Saccharomyces cerevisiae S288C: one gene and its partners. The gene in region 1 interacts genetically with each later gene. Each region holds a gene or a part of one and is shown on either strand. Other genes may lie near its edges.

Region 1 (3,623 bases):
ACAATAGTATTATCAATCCTGAAAGGCAAAGGATGAGTTTGGAAGAAATGAAAAAAATGCTCGATGCTTTGAAAAATGAAAGGAAAAAGTAGGAAAACGCAACATTCACAATTGTAAGCTACAAAATATTGAATGTGAATCCTGCTTCATTACAAATGAAGAATTTCAAAGCGTATCTAGTTCACCAAAAGTCACAATATCTTATTATTATTTGGAAGCTTTTATATGCATCTAATGGTCATAAATCCCATCTCACTTTATAAAACAAGTTACCGCGAATGTATCCAGTGATACAGAATAGAGTGTAACAAATGAGAATAAAAATACCATATTATCGTTTAATTTTGGTAGGGTACGCTAAAATAAAGTGGTGTTTGCGTCTCCATATAACTAAAAAGAATTGAAATGGCCTACTATCGATTAGACTATTCAGGCATGGAAGCAGTAAGAACATTTCTTGATTTTGGAAAAATGAGATTAGATTATTAATTATTGTGTTTGTGTATATAATTTATTTTGCATATTTCATAAAGAAATTAAAATTAGATTATTAAATATTAAGTTTCATTAGTGACATTAAAAGAAGAAAACTGATGTTTTGAAATGTGTTAAGCAAAGAATGATTAAGACAATCTCAAGCTGCTCTAAGCAGTATCTTCGACAGCTTGCTCTGCTTCAGGTTCGGGTTCGTGGATTGCAGTCTCTCCAGATGCTCTTGGGCTCTCTGGAACAGCTTCTTTTGTTTCAGGAGCCGCATCTTCCACATCGTCCGTAGCATGGTGATGAGAGAATCCTCCTGTCAAAGATAGCCTTGGCAATTTGCCATCACGGCTGACTGCAATTAGCAAGTAACATGGATAAATGGCAAATACACATAAATCCAAAACACCATAAAAGATAGCCTCACCGTCTGGTTGAATACGGTTACCACCATCACTTAGACCCCAACAGATAAAGTACAACCAAACGATTACCATGCAGGTACACAGCATAAGTGCATTGAACCCTCTAGTTTTCAAATTGAAGAATTGACGTTGGCATATCACACCTTGGGTAACCAACATAGCGACAGCACCAATGGTGTAATAACCCCACTTGTAGGTGGACTTGATCAATGAACCAACTAATAGCGAAACAACCCAGAATAAGGTACCCACGATTTGAATTAACAGCGAATGTACCATATCCAAGGCGGAAATGTCGTCATTCTCACCAGTAGTACTAGCGGCTAACTCGATTAAAAATAAAAGGCATGGCCAGGACAAGAACCAGGCAATATATTTCGAGTAAAAGATTTGTCTAATACCGGGAACTTCACCTGTGATAGACTTGCTAACCTTGACGTGGTTAAATTCAGCTTGAACACCAGTCCAACCTAAATCAGAAGCATAAGTGAAGAAAGCAAAAAATTCAAAGAAAGTGATCAAAAATGCAGGAGCTAAGGCATATCTAGTCAATCTGGAGCCCTTGTTCTCCGCAATGAAGAACATCACAACATAGCATAGCAATATAAAGCCAAAGACTGCAAACACTGCCCATAACCAATCCGAACCTCTCTTGGTAATGTGCATATCCAGGCCATGTGGTGGATTAAGCCCTAAAGCCTCGTTACGATTTAAAAAGCTTGATAGCGTATCGTTCATTTGAAATTTGTTGTTTTTAGTAATCAAAAGATATTAAAGTCTCAAACTTGTTGTTTTGTTTTTGTAATTATAAATAATAATAATTGAGTTAATATTTGTTGTTGTGTTGTATTGCAGAATGTAAAAACAAGAAACAAGATTAGAAAGTGAATAGGTGTTACGCTAAATAATTGAAGACTCTCACAGACTTATATATGATTTTTTTAGTGTGATACAACTTGTAATGAGGTAAGGGATTGATATTATACTTTCTAACTGATGATGAATATGAAAACTTTGGCCAATTAGGGAGAGGAAAGTTTTCGATGAGATGCTAGAAAAAAACTTGTCCTTGCCATAGCAGAAAGGGATGATGAAATAACGAAGATGAGCTAATTTGGTATTCGAATAAACATGCAGGATGTGGCGGAAGGGATCGGAATAAGAGTCGGGATCGGGATCGGGATATGGCTTTGCTTACTTTAGCCATACCAAATATTCTTACAAAGCACGCTTTCGATGCGTTTTTGCCTTCTGAGAGAATCCTCCTACGGCTCGACCCTTGAAAAATTCTAGAGGATCTGGAAAATGGCCAACAAAATCGCGCAGGGAGACGCAAGGAAAGTAAGTCAGATGGATCCGACTGTATGTAACAAGGGTTGCTGCAGCGGTTTTCCATCCCTTTCGGCACCCTGCACAAGTAGTTATTCTTACTTATGCAAAACGGATATGAGCTACATAGCGTTCATTTTTTAGGTTTTCAGAAGCTATTACAACGCAGTAAAAAGGATACACAACTTTCTTACGGGGAAGAAGAATACGGCTCAATGCACCCACTTCAACCCCCGGTATCACGCGGCACTAAAGTTGTTTGATTGTAATAGTAATACTGCTGTTGAGGTTTTCTTCTTCAGGGCTGCTCACAACGTGATATATTTGAATTGACAGGACGTATTCAGCGCAGTTGAGGAAAATTAACATATGACATGCGCAGGAAATAAGTGCTCAAGTTTTCTACTTTTGAAGAAAGGACTTTGGTTTACTTGCCTACTATCTCCATGTCAAGTACTCGGTTGTATGATGTTAAGGAGCGCAGGGAACACTAATCGATAAAAAACCCTTATTGGCTATTACTAAATGTAACGGCCGTGCTCTAGTGAAATTTGTATAGAAAAATGGGTTCTCTCGCTCAAAATGGGCGCCATTACTTGTCTGGTCAAATTGAGTTCCTGGATATAATTACATAAACGGATTGAAATTTACATAAGGAGTATAATAATTCCGGAAACTATCTTGAGTGCAATGCCATCACGCGGCCATGCCTTGACATAACATGCTCTCATCAAAAAGGTGCAAATTTTCGCCAGTTATGGTTGATATCTAAAATCTACTGGAGTTCATTTTTTTTTTTATTAGATATCCTTTTTGCAAGCCTTCTGAAAAAAAATTTCTCATGTGGTACAGCGTTGGTTACTTAAGCTGCTTAAACTAGATCGATGAGCCATTCTTAAATCAGAAGACTGTGACTGCGAATTGTAGGCATCTTCACTACCCTGTCCATGAAGCTCATTTTCGTTATCATCAATTGGTGCTATCTTATAACTTTGATAAAGAGCTACCATACAAAAAAGACTTAACGACCACCAACTGACCCAGGCGACGTCATTTTGCTGGGACCAAGACATAATATAGCCCCATACTAAGGGACCTATGAAACGAGCAGAGGCAGAAATACTAATGGTGGCGCCATTGATGACTGATCTACAACTCAAGGGACTCGAATTATGAATTAATAACATAATTTGTGGTGACGTTAAAGCGCCACAAAATGTTTTTATCCCTGTGATTATGTACAAGTAGACGACAGTATACCAGCTAGGAATCCGTTCATTCTGTAGAAAAACAACGTAAGGAACCATAACGTACATAATAGGGTACAGCTTGACTAAAGTTCTGAAAATTGTTAAACAATCGAAATTTCGATCAACTATGGGAAAAATG
Region 2 (4,820 bases), on another chromosome or scaffold:
CAAGGCTGCCAGCGAATTGAGAATCTTATACGGTGGTTCCGCTAACGGTAGCAACGCCGTTACCTTCAAGGACAAGGCTGATGTCGATGGTTTCTTGGTCGGTGGTGCTTCTTTGAAGCCAGAATTTGTTGATATCATCAACTCTAGAAACTAAGATTAATATAATTATATAAAAATATTATCTTCTTTTCTTTATATCTAGTGTTATGTAAAATAAATTGATGACTACGGAAAGCTTTTTTATATTGTTTCTTTTTCATTCTGAGCCACTTAAATTTCGTGAATGTTCTTGTAAGGGACGGTAGATTTACAAGTGATACAACAAAAAGCAAGGCGCTTTTTCTAATAAAAAGAAGAAAAGCATTTAACAATTGAACACCTCTATATCAACGAAGAATATTACTTTGTCTCTAAATCCTTGTAAAATGTGTACGATCTCTATATGGGTTACTCATAAGTGTACCGAAGACTGCATTGAAAGTTTATGTTTTTTCACTGGAGGCGTCATTTTCGCGTTGAGAAGATGTTCTTATCCAAATTTCAACTGTTATATAGAAGAGCAAAAAATTGCCAAAAAAAACAACATTTATTCATTTGAAATATAAAATTTGGGCTTCTATATTTTAATATTGCTTTTCAATTACTGTTATTAAATGTAAGTACTGTGTCTATGAAAATATATGCAAATGCTAAGAAAAATCCTAAAAATTTGAATATGAGATATTCCTCAGTATTTCTTTTTCATCCTTTCTTCTGCGGCTCTAGCCCTTTGTTCTCTCATCAATCTGCGTCTCTGTTCATCGGTCAAAGAATTCAAATTTTGTTGCTGAATTGAAGGAATATTGGTTAACTTTTTGCCTGGACCCCTCTCTGCATCTTTAGCAAATCTTTGTTTTTCCTTGGCGGCTTCTAATTCCAATTTAATCAGTTTTTCTGCCTTTTCATTCTCTATTGCTTTTTTCTTTTCATTGATTTCATCAACTTGTTCTCTGCTCAATGGCTGACCGATATGAGTTTCGTCCCAATTAGTGAAAGACTCTCCAAGATTGTATCTTGCAATTTGAAACGCGTGTCTCACGTCGTCGTTTCTATTCAAATCCCACGCAGTCCTTCCTAGTCTGTTCTTGATCGTTGGATCGCATTTAATATTTGAGAGCAAAATCAGTGCCATCTGTTTCATCCCTTGCTGCGATGCATAATGTAACATGGTAGGGGTTAAGGAATATTTACTCTCAGGCTTTAACCGAAAGTTTCCATCAAGCTTATTCTTTTTTAAGAAGGATATCAATAACGGTGCCCTTCCTTTCTTCAGCAGAGAAATTATTTCTTCTGTTTGGATTTCTTCCAGTAACGGTTCTTGTTTTTCTTTAAATTCGTCCTTTTTGTTCGACACTTCTAACTTTTGTACTGTTTCTTTCACTGCCAATGGTTCAGGCTTAGGTAATATTTTCAGGTAGGAAAGTTCGCACCATGCCTTCTTCAATTCTAATACAGTGGGCCTGTTCGTGGTAAAAGGGAAGCTCTTTATCCTTTCATCACCCTTGTTCAGAACGGTATTATCAGTAAAAATTTTTTTATCACTGACATTGCGAGCTCGAATAAAAATATTATCACACTTTGACAGATAAGGTTCCCAGTCCTTCAACACACCCTGTATATCTGTTTTTAAAGCGCTTTCATTGTACCTACGAAGTGCTGAACCGGCAGAGTTAGCTTTTCCCTTTGCATTGTCCATTGCTGACTGAGAACCACCTTGCTTCCTTCTGGTAGTATACCTGTGAAACGTCTTGTGCTCTAAGAAATTGACCGCTTGCTCAATTAAGGTTTCGTCCTTCTTGTGCGCGTTCCCCTTGACATTGAGTCTTTGATGAGAAACAATTGCTCCCGCAAAATGTCCACCTCCCACCATAAACAGAGCTGAAATGGCCATTGGGTTCTCTTGCGAATTCCAAAAAGTCAAAGCTTCATTGGGGTTGGAAAGACTCCTTTTATTAAATAGAGACTTATAAATCGCCAAGACCTCATTCTTTTGAAGATACTTCGATTTGAAATAAATGTAGGGCGATTGGGTATTAATATGGCTAATAGCATCCGACTCGTCTTTTTGGAACCCTAATTTCTGCAAATCATTTTCGATTATAGTTTCCATATAATTATTAGTTTGTAGGTCCGGGTCCCGATCGCTGGCTTCCTCACTTTCTTCGTGATCGCTTGAAGTTTGCTCGCCGCCAGAATTTTCGTCTTCAGACTTGATACCATGCTCCTTAGAAATCAGCGCATCGAATTCCTCAACGGATAGGATATCCAGCCCCCTAAGGTTACGCTTAACATTCATCAAATGATAATCAGTCTGGTAGTGGGCCTTTTGTTCATTTCTGGAATCAAAGCTCATTTGACAAACACTACAACGCATAACATTTGATGTGACCTTCTTTCTTGCTATTTGGAGATCTCCAGACTCCTTGTTTCTATCATTATCAGATGTCTTCTCTACTTCAACTTCTCGCAGTGTGGAGTCAAAGCTCATCAATTTCAATGAATTCAGAAGTTGCTCAGACAAATCAAAAATATAAAGATCATTCTTTTTTAGTGAGCCAGTCATTTTACTCGCCTTTTGTGAATTCATGCTATTGGAAGCTTGTCAACAGGCGTGCAGATCTTTTGAAAATCCTTTTTCTTCGAAGGAAAGGTGATATGCATTCTCATTTATTTTCATATACCTTCATCTTTTATTTTCTTCTATTTAAGATTTTGTCACTACATCCATTCAGAGAACCTGCAAAAATAAATATCTGAAAAAAAAAAAAATCGTAATAAATATACAGAATATCGAAAAAAGAAAAAAGGCCACTTTTGAACGTTGTGAAAAAGATATTATTTACATAAACGTATATTATCACTTATAACACTATAAGAATCAATATTTCCACATTACTTCGAACCAATTCTGTGGCACTCCTCCAAGAAAAACTTGATGACGTCTGGATCCATGAAAGGGTGGGTACCGTGACCGAAATTAACAATGTAGCGGGACTTCCCACCTCCAAAAGCCTCAATCATCTGTTTAACTTTCTTTGTTATTACCTCTTTAGAACCATACATGACGCCAGGATCCAGGTTGCCCTGCAAGGTGACACGGTTCTTGTTTATTTTTACCGCTTCTCTTGGGTCCCAGGACCAGTCCAACGAAACAACGTCAAATCCTGAACAGCATAGCTTGTCCAAAGCATACCACGACCCTTTCGCAAAAACGATCATAGGAATCTGTTCCATGATACCTAATTCTTGCAATCTTTTAGGCACTCTTTCGGCAATTTGTCTTAAATATGGTAGGGAAAACTCATCAAAATCTACAGACGAAAGCTCACCACCCCAACTTTCAAAAACTTGTAGTATTTGAGCACCCGCCACGACTTGCTGACTCAGAAACTCCACGGCCACATCAGTGATTTTTTGTAATAATTTGTGAGAAAGCTCTGGATACATGTTAATCCATTGTTTGGCAAATCTGAAAAGACGGGATCCACCGCCTTCCGTCATATAAACCATTAGAGTCCAAGGTCCCCCGCAAAAGCCAAATAAGGGAACCTCACCATCCAACTTGATCCTTGTCATGGTGATTGCCTTGAAAGCCCAATCTAACTCTTTCAAAACATCAACCTTGTAGTCTAATACCGTTTGGAGGTCTTCCGGATTTCTTAAAGGTTCTGGGAAATGTGGACCTTTACCTTCGAGCATCTCGACCCTCATACCCATGGCTTGCGGAATAACTAAGATATCACTAAAAATAATAGCAGCATCAATGAGGCCTCTATAGCGTCTTACCGGCTGGATAGTAATCTCAGAAGCAATTTCCGCATCCCTGCAAGTTTGAAAGAAATCACGATTGTTTTTCACCTCGTGATATTCCGGCAGGTAACGACCTGCCTGGCGCATTATCCAGCATGGCGGTCTCTCGACTTTTTCACCCTTTGCGGCTCTCAATATCAAATCGTTTTTTGGAGCTGGAAAGTTACCCATAGCGTTATAACCTGTTCTTTGCTTTATTTTTTTTTTTTTTGTTCTTCCTTTTCTCGAAGAGAGCTTACCAAACACAATTCTGAGATAATGCTTGATGAATTGAAGAACCTATCGATCACTCTATGTTACCTTCGTCTGGAACATCACTAATTCGAGCGGTAAAGATGAAAATGGCAGAACATTTCGCTGGCAAAATTAAAACTCTTGCCTCATTTTTTTTTGCTTTCCTCTCCTGCCGCCAAAAACCCCGAACCCTGTCCTGTATATACGAGAAACATTGAAAAAGATCGTGTATGATAGCGCCAAGATGGCGGATAAACTAACACTATTGACAGGTTGAGGCCAAGGATATATTACTTGCTAACAGAAAGAGATACTGTCACCACAATTGCCCGCGTACGTATACTACAACATGTTCTCTATATATCACCCACTCTTTCGCAGTGCTACGTACGCCAAAAACGCGCGCATGGAAGTAAAGAAGTTTTTTCTTTTAAGAGCGAAGCTCCATTAAAAGCCTTGAATATAAACTAGTGCGAAGTAGTATGATCCGAAGACACCAATTGCTGGTGCAGCATAGGAATATGTGGCGTCCGAAAAAGAGCCTTTAACAATCCACGGCGAAACAAGGCACCGCTGTGCATTTAAAACATGCCGTTCCCGTACCAAGTTATATTGTTACGGATGAATCCAAAATAATTTGTTAAAAAATGCTGCCGTTCCGTCCCATTGAGTTTTATTTTCCTTCTCATGGCACCTTCTTCGTTTCTTCATCCTGCATTAGACTTACTAGTGTGCTT
Region 3 (4,090 bases), on another chromosome or scaffold:
AACCTCTAATCAATCAGTATTTAAAAATCGGAAGTAATGTCCATACGAAAGGGCTACGAGAATTTAACCATCTCGTTCTTTGCTAGAAATGGCACTGCGGGATAGCCCCTGGTTGCGGGATATCAGACCTGTCGTCACCATAGCAACCAAAAATTACATAAACCCATGGTTGCTCGCCCTTTGATGGCGACGCCGACCGAAGCTTCTCCCGCGCACATTTTTAAAATTTTTACTCATCGGGAATGAAAGGTTCTTTGACACATGTAAAGCTCCCTAAGTTGGACATACGTCGGTCCTTACAGGCTTAGCAATACACCTATAAGGCACTAGAAACGTATAAAATTTGAGCACTTTAGTTTCTCATCCCTTTTGATACGAAACGCGGGCAAGGCTACGGCATACAGGAATTTAACATTTTGTTGGCTATGGAGCTAAGAAGTAGACGGAGCGCAGAGGCCTATCTTGTCACGCCTGAGGAACCTGCCAAGAATAAGAGTGAACGGAGCATAGAATCCAATGAGAGGGTCGGCACGAGGGAAGCAAAGAGCGAGAACACAAGTGTATTTAGTCCCGCTTACTCTGATACCGCTACTACAGATTCATCGAAGAAAGTTGATGACAATGAATACTACAATTTTACTAGTCACTTCATGCCATCTTTGAAAAACACCAGAGAACTAGAAAACACAATTCTCAATCTCATACAGAGGATAAAGGAAGGGGATGATGAAACGTTAGTTAGTGAGAAAGATCTCATATTAAGTGTGCTTAACAGGTCTTTAGCATCCACATCTCACTGGAAGTTACAGGCCCAGCTATCGGAGTTAAGGGCCACCTCAGAGGGAAGGTATGCAGTTGAGACAAACTTGTTGAAAAAAGAGGTAGAATTTTTAAAAAACAAGACCCCAAAAACCAACGAAAGTGCAAGTTCCGCAGAGTTGAGACCACTTCTTGAACGACCTTTAAAGCGTAAACTGTCATTGCCAGGACTAGCGCAAAGACCATTATCCACTGGCGCTAGGCTAGAAGGAGGATATGGAGGTGTATCGCCGAACTCATGGAAAACCAAAGTTCCAAAACTTCCTCTTCCTGCTTCCCGGCCGTCTTTGAATCTTTCTCCCCAAAAAGTCCCAACGGGTACTGATAAAGTTGAGGAAGATACCAAAATTGACACATTGGAATTAGTAGAGAACAATAAACCGCATCCAAGGATGAGAAGAAGGAGTGACAATCCAGCAACAAACGAATATGTGAGAGTTTTTCATTTGGAGAAAAAAGAACCTAAATCACGAAAAAAATAGTATGCTAGAAAAAAATATTATTGAACGTCAATAATTTTTCTTTCTCATGGGACCAAACACATCATTTATTCTCTAATAATATTCTATTCTCTTTATTTCTGGTTTACTCTTTTAAAATTCTCCAAAGAGAAATATCTCCTTCAATTCTTCAGTTACGAATTTATGTTTACTTTTAACCTCTATCATACACCTTTAATCTAATGCCTCCAACTGTCTGTAATTTTAGTACAACTTAAAAGGGAAATTTTCCGAAAGTGTGAAAAAATTGGATTTTTTTTTCTCCTATTGAACTCAATGGAAGCTATCAGTTTGGAGAGGGACAATTATTTTCCTTCTTGTTTTTTGCCAAGAGAACAATATTGTAGTATTTAAGTTCTAATTTAATGTTATATATACTTATCTAATAGTTTTTTTTTTTCAATTAGATTGTTTTCCTTACGACGTTAATCCCTTGTCATCCTCACTTACGAACTTCGATGAATATGACATACGTAATCGGGAATGTTTTGTAAACTAATTGACGTAGTTCCTTTTTCGTAAACTGGACTGGACGGCTTGATCAAAATTCCCGAAAAATAAAAATTTCCCTCACGAGAATATGGAAATTACTATCGCCCAGCATTATTTTATCTCCTCAGAGAGTAAAAGAAGTTTCCTCTTTCCTAAACTTAAAAAGCAGTCCTAAATATATAGTTGACTTCGACGCATATCATTCATCGGCTGCTGATAGCAAATAAAACAACATAGATACAATGGATGCAACTACCCCACTATTAACTGTTGCGAACAGTCATCCCGCCCGCAATCCAAAGCACACTGCATGGAGAGCAGCTGTGTATGATTTACAGTATATTTTGAAAGCGTCACCCCTGAATTTCCTATTGGTATTTGTTCCTTTAGGTCTGATTTGGGGACACTTCCAACTATCTCATACACTGACATTTCTTTTTAATTTCTTGGCAATTATACCGTTGGCAGCTATCTTGGCTAATGCCACGGAAGAGTTGGCTGATAAGGCTGGTAACACCATTGGGGGACTGCTAAATGCTACTTTTGGTAACGCTGTGGAACTAATTGTTTCTATCATTGCCCTGAAAAAAGGTCAAGTGAGAATTGTGCAGGCCTCGATGCTAGGTAGTCTTCTTTCTAATTTGCTGTTAGTGCTTGGATTATGCTTCATATTCGGTGGATACAATAGAGTCCAACAGACATTCAACCAAACCGCCGCTCAAACAATGTCCTCATTACTTGCCATTGCGTGTGCATCCCTACTGATTCCCGCTGCCTTTAGAGCCACCCTACCTCATGGCAAGGAAGACCACTTCATCGATGGAAAAATATTGGAGTTATCCAGAGGCACCTCTATTGTTATTCTCATCGTTTACGTTTTGTTCTTATATTTCCAGCTAGGGAGCCATCACGCCTTGTTTGAGCAACAAGAAGAAGAGACCGATGAAGTTATGAGCACCATTTCCAGGAATCCACATCACTCTTTGAGTGTCAAGTCATCATTGGTGATACTTCTAGGTACAACTGTGATCATCTCTTTTTGTGCGGATTTTCTAGTCGGTACGATAGACAACGTTGTTGAATCTACCGGGCTATCTAAAACATTTATAGGTTTGATTGTCATTCCTATTGTGGGTAATGCCGCAGAGCATGTCACTTCAGTCTTGGTGGCCATGAAGGATAAGATGGATCTGGCGCTAGGTGTTGCCATCGGTTCCTCTTTACAAGTTGCCTTATTTGTTACACCATTCATGGTTCTTGTGGGCTGGATGATCGATGTTCCAATGACGCTAAATTTCTCCACTTTTGAAACCGCTACTCTTTTTATTGCTGTTTTCTTATCCAATTACTTAATTCTCGATGGTGAGTCAAACTGGTTGGAGGGTGTCATGTCTCTAGCTATGTATATTTTGATTGCAATGGCATTTTTCTATTATCCAGACGAAAAAACCCTTGACTCTATTGGAAATAGTTTATGAGTAAGAACAGTAGCGCAGAAATTCACCATTCTCTTTTTTTTTATATTTTATCTTCTTCGTAATTCTATCGATGGACCAATACAAAGATGATTATGACTAGCAAGTCATTATTATGATCGTTATATTATACATATTATGTTTACGCAACTAATTTTTATATCGAATTTTATCTGAAAAAAAGTTTTCAAAACCAACAAAATATTTTGTACACTCTTCGAAACTCAAATTCTGCACCATTTCCATTCTGATAAAAGGTTTAATATTTCGAAGCTTCTCAACTACAGCTCGTGTTCTTCTTGCAGCACATCAGCTGCTTTGCTGCACTGTTCAGGGTAACGTTATTCATTACAACGAGAATATTTAGGAATTTTGCTCAAATTCATGGAGCTTCCTACATCATTGCACAACAGAATTTCGTTTTGTAGTATAGTTTATTAGAAACAAATGTGAATAGATCATGAGACGCGAAGCCCTATTTTAGCGGATTTTAGCCTTACATTTCTGAGTGAGAATGCCAGCTGAAACACATTCTTGTTACATCTGTCACGGCATTCCAGCTGTAAAAAACCAGCAGATATCGCATAAAAAAATGGCCAGCTATAGAATAAAATTAGCCCAGCTATATTTTTATAGCGTCTTTTGATGACGCGAAAAGTAGACTTCGCGTAACACGAAAAATGCTGGTGCAGGTGGATTTTTTTGGCAGATACTACGGTCAATTCTCCGCTCGAAGATTTTTATAGGCCTGGCTAGTTACCTATTTAGTGCAAATTGGGAAGAGATCTATTGTTCCCGCAGACA
Region 4 (3,686 bases), on another chromosome or scaffold:
AAAGACACGTTTGCGCTCTCTGGGCTGGATTGGTGCTAAGAGAGCTACTTACGACGATTACCAGACTAACTATTACAACTATGTCATAGATAAGATGGGTGGTGCAGTTGCTGCTTATAGAGCGGGCGCGATTAGGAAAGCTGCAGCACCAGGTATCCAACTTGTGGCTGGAGAGGGTTTCCAAAGTCCTCTAGAAGATAGGTTCACTGCTTCCACTTTCACGGCTATTAAAACCGAACGGAAATTCATTTTAAGTGAAGAATACTTTGTGGAGCTGGAAAACAATCTAAAGAAGATCTTGGAAGAGTATGACGGGGATATTGGTAAGATGAATGCTGAAATTAGGAGGTTTAGAAGGTTTGGTATTTATGAACCAGATGAAAAACTGGCCTCGCTAGTTAAGCTCAGAAGAGAAATTGCTGATGAGAAAGAGAAAGCATCAAACAATGATGCTACTTTTGGTATAAAAAAGAATGATTTGAAAAAATCTAATTAATTGTAAAACCAAAACACTACCATCCAGACTTTTTTTTTATTCAACCATAGCCTTTAACTACTACTACTACTACTAGTACTACTACTATTACTATTACTATTACTACTACTAGAGGGCCTTTTTTTACTCCTAGTATTTTTGTACTATCCTATTTACTCTCGTTGTTTTTATTAGTTTTTTCACTCTTTTTTTCAATTCCTCACGAATCTACTGTTTTCGTAGTGCTTTTTTTTGTTTCATTGTTTATAGCCATCAATGGTTTTTGTTACTATCATTATCATTATAAATATTTCATACAATATATACAATATATATACAATAAATGAGAATCGATTTACTTTTAATGCATTTTTGCAGTCAAAAAAAGCTTCGTTTACATTTATATGTATTTATGTTTGTATTTCTGGGGGAAATATGCCTTTATGGGCGTATATACTCTTTCGTACGTTTCTACATCCGAGTAGCAGTAGTAACTCGGTATTGTGCTTTCGTCGCCATAATCAGGACTATCATAATCGAATTTTTTTTGCGTTTTGTTGTCACCACATATGGTCCCTTCTTCCTCATCATCTATCAATATTCCCAATTCGTAGACAGTTCTACTTAAATTCTCGTCAATGACTTTAGACACATACTTTCGTAGTTTCAATTCATACCCCTTAACCTTCCTTTTACTAGACAAAAATCTCGGACGTATAAAAATGATGAATATTATTATGCTTAGAATTAATTTGCTTATTAAAATTACCCATATGATAAACGAGAACAACATGAAGGACAAGATCACACTTTCTTCGTAATTTGTCTTAGCAATATGTTTTATCTTGTTTATTATTCCATTTAGGTCATCTAAATTACCTAGGCTTTGAGTACTATGGGTTCCGCTACTGGTCTCATTCGAAACTGTCAGTAAAACTGACCACAAAGTTAATCCGTTGATTATTTGCCTTGGAGAGTCACCGAACAATAGCCTCAAACATCCACTGATTTCAAAATATGAAAAGAATAACCACTTACTGAATTTTTTCTCATCAGTCAGCACTATTAGTTCGAAAATTTGATACTTTTTGAAATTGAACAAGCAATTTATTAATCTGCTAATGCCATTCATGTAGTTCGATGTAATCTCTTTCTTCCTATACACTCTCAATCCAATTACCAACTCCCAAATTAATATTAATGAGGAGCATAATATGCATCCGCTAAACAACCATTTTGAAATACGGAATTCCAAGAATGGTTGGATGATATTGTTCGACCATGTGTTAAATGCCAGTAATTTAATACACGTGTATATATCAGAAAAAAACATGGCCACATGTAGTATCGACTGACACCAGGTGTATAGAATATACTGTAATTTTGTGGTCCACTTCGCAGTAGGAATAAGATTTATGTCAATATCCTGGAATTTCAATTTTTGTAAACTTGATTCCATTATTTAGCGCTTTGTTGTCATTTTCCTTTCCCTCTTAGACAATGTGGTAAAAAATGCCAGCTCCAGGGCTTTCAATTAATCCATTATTGATTTTTAATCTGGAGGTTTGAGCATGGCTGAATAATTTATATACAAATATCTTTTTTTATTGTTTCAGATCATTCGTTTTCAGTATGATTTACTATCATTCATTTTCTTTTTCTTTACCATTTTACGTCGCCGTCGCACATCTTAAAACAAATTTAATACAGAGTTGAAAGTTTCAGACTTAAACAGAATTTACGCAAGAAAGTTTTCAAAGTCCTAAAGTAAAAACGCGCCTTCCACAGCCATTTCTTTGTTCAACAAAAAGTTTTGGCCCTTACTGCTATTGGATACTTGGCAATCCGTCTTTCGTTATGCCAGATGAAACAAATTTTACAATAGAAGATATTGAGCCTAGGCCTGATGCCCTTCGAGGTTTGGACACCCAGTTCCTTCAAGACAACACAGCATTAGTACAAGCATATCGTGGTTTAGACTGGTCAGATATTTCTTCGTTGACCCAAATGGTAGATGTTATAGAGCAAACAGTGGTTAAATATGGCAATCCAAATGATTCAATCAAATTGGCCTTGGAAACTATTTTATGGCAAATATTGCGTAAGTACCCTTTATTGTTTGGATTTTGGAAGAGGTTTGCTACTATTGAGTACCAGTTATTTGGTCTCAAGAAATCGATTGCTGTTCTGGCCACCTCGGTCAAATGGTTCCCAACTTCTCTGGAGTTATGGTGTGATTATTTGAATGTGTTGTGTGTTAATAACCCGAACGAAACGGATTTTATTAGGAATAATTTTGAAATTGCAAAGGATCTTATTGGCAAGCAGTTTCTATCACACCCTTTTTGGGACAAGTTTATAGAATTTGAAGTTGGGCAGAAGAATTGGCATAACGTTCAAAGAATATACGAGTACATTATTGAAGTTCCTCTACATCAGTATGCGCGGTTTTTCACATCTTACAAGAAGTTTTTAAATGAAAAAAATTTGAAGACAACAAGGAATATTGATATAGTTTTACGAAAAACACAAACAACAGTAAATGAAATTTGGCAGTTCGAATCGAAAATCAAACAGCCCTTCTTCAACCTGGGCCAAGTGTTAAATGATGATTTGGAAAATTGGTCGCGATATTTAAAATTTGTGACGGATCCTTCAAAATCCTTGGATAAAGAATTCGTAATGTCCGTTTTTGACAGATGTTTGATTCCTTGTCTTTACCATGAAAATACGTGGATGATGTATATTAAGTGGCTAACAAAGAAAAATATATCCGATGAAGTGGTAGTGGATATATACCAAAAAGCCAATACGTTCTTACCACTGGATTTCAAAACTTTGAGGTATGATTTTCTTAGGTTTTTGAAAAGAAAATATCGGTCAAATAATACCTTATTCAATAACATATTCAATGAGACAGTATCGCGTTATTTAAAGATTTGGCCCAACGACATATTACTTATGACGGAGTACCTTTGTATGTTGAAAAGACATTCTTTTAAGAATTCCTTAGATCAATCGCCAAAGGAAATTCTAGAGAAACAAACATCGTTTACTAAAATCCTAGAGACATCAATCACCAACTACATCAATAATCAAATTGATGCCAAGGTGCATTTACAGACCTTAATAAATGATAAAAACTTAAGCATAGTCGTGGTAGAATTGATAAAAACTACATGGCTTGTACTTAAAAATAATATGCAAACAA

The links.
Region 2: mutations in HSP30 (region 1) and VMS1 together harm fitness more than expected from each alone (negative genetic interaction), as found in Saccharomyces cerevisiae (2 studies listed by BioGRID).
Region 3: mutations in HSP30 (region 1) and VCX1 together harm fitness more than expected from each alone (negative genetic interaction), as found in Saccharomyces cerevisiae (2 studies listed by BioGRID).
Region 4: mutations in HSP30 (region 1) and PRM6 together harm fitness more than expected from each alone (negative genetic interaction), as found in Saccharomyces cerevisiae (2 studies listed by BioGRID).

What each region holds. Positions count from the first base shown.
Region 1 is NC_001135.5:155,465-159,087, forward strand, and holds HSP30 (Hsp30p), read right to left. Parts: upstream 1,644-3,623; coding exon 645-1,643; downstream 1-644. Other genes in the region: HTL1 (Htl1p), read left to right, coding at 1-92; YCR022C (uncharacterized protein), read right to left, coding at 1,957-2,301; YCR023C (uncharacterized protein), read right to left, coding at 3,074-3,623. UniProt on the Saccharomyces cerevisiae protein: Probably cooperates with other heat shock proteins in the translocation of polypeptides through membranes. It may counteract the altering effect of heat shock on the plasma membrane.
Region 2 is NC_001136.10:551,060-555,879, reverse strand, and holds VMS1 (Vms1p), read right to left. Parts: upstream 2,627-4,820; coding exon 728-2,626; downstream 1-727. Other genes in the region: triose-phosphate isomerase TPI1, read left to right, coding at 1-154; uroporphyrinogen decarboxylase HEM12, read right to left, coding at 2,932-4,020. UniProt on the Saccharomyces cerevisiae protein: Endonuclease that cleaves polypeptidyl-tRNAs downstream of the ribosome-associated quality control (RQC) pathway to release incompletely synthesized polypeptides for degradation.
Region 3 is NC_001136.10:230,599-234,688, forward strand, and holds VCX1 (Vcx1p), read left to right. Parts: upstream 1-2,053; coding exon 2,054-3,289; downstream 3,290-4,090. Other genes in the region: YDL129W (uncharacterized protein), read left to right, coding at 426-1,301.
Region 4 is NC_001145.3:179,142-182,827, forward strand, and holds PRM6 (pheromone-regulated K(+) transporter PRM6), read right to left. Parts: upstream 1,935-3,686; coding exon 876-1,934; downstream 1-875. Other genes in the region: GSF2 (Gsf2p), read left to right, coding at 1-496; PRP39 (Prp39p), read left to right, coding at 2,333-3,686. UniProt on the Saccharomyces cerevisiae protein: Low affinity potassium transporter that, with KCH1, participates in high-affinity Ca(2+) influx system (HACS) activation during the response to mating pheromone. Directly promotes K(+) influx and HACS may electrochemically respond to this K(+) influx.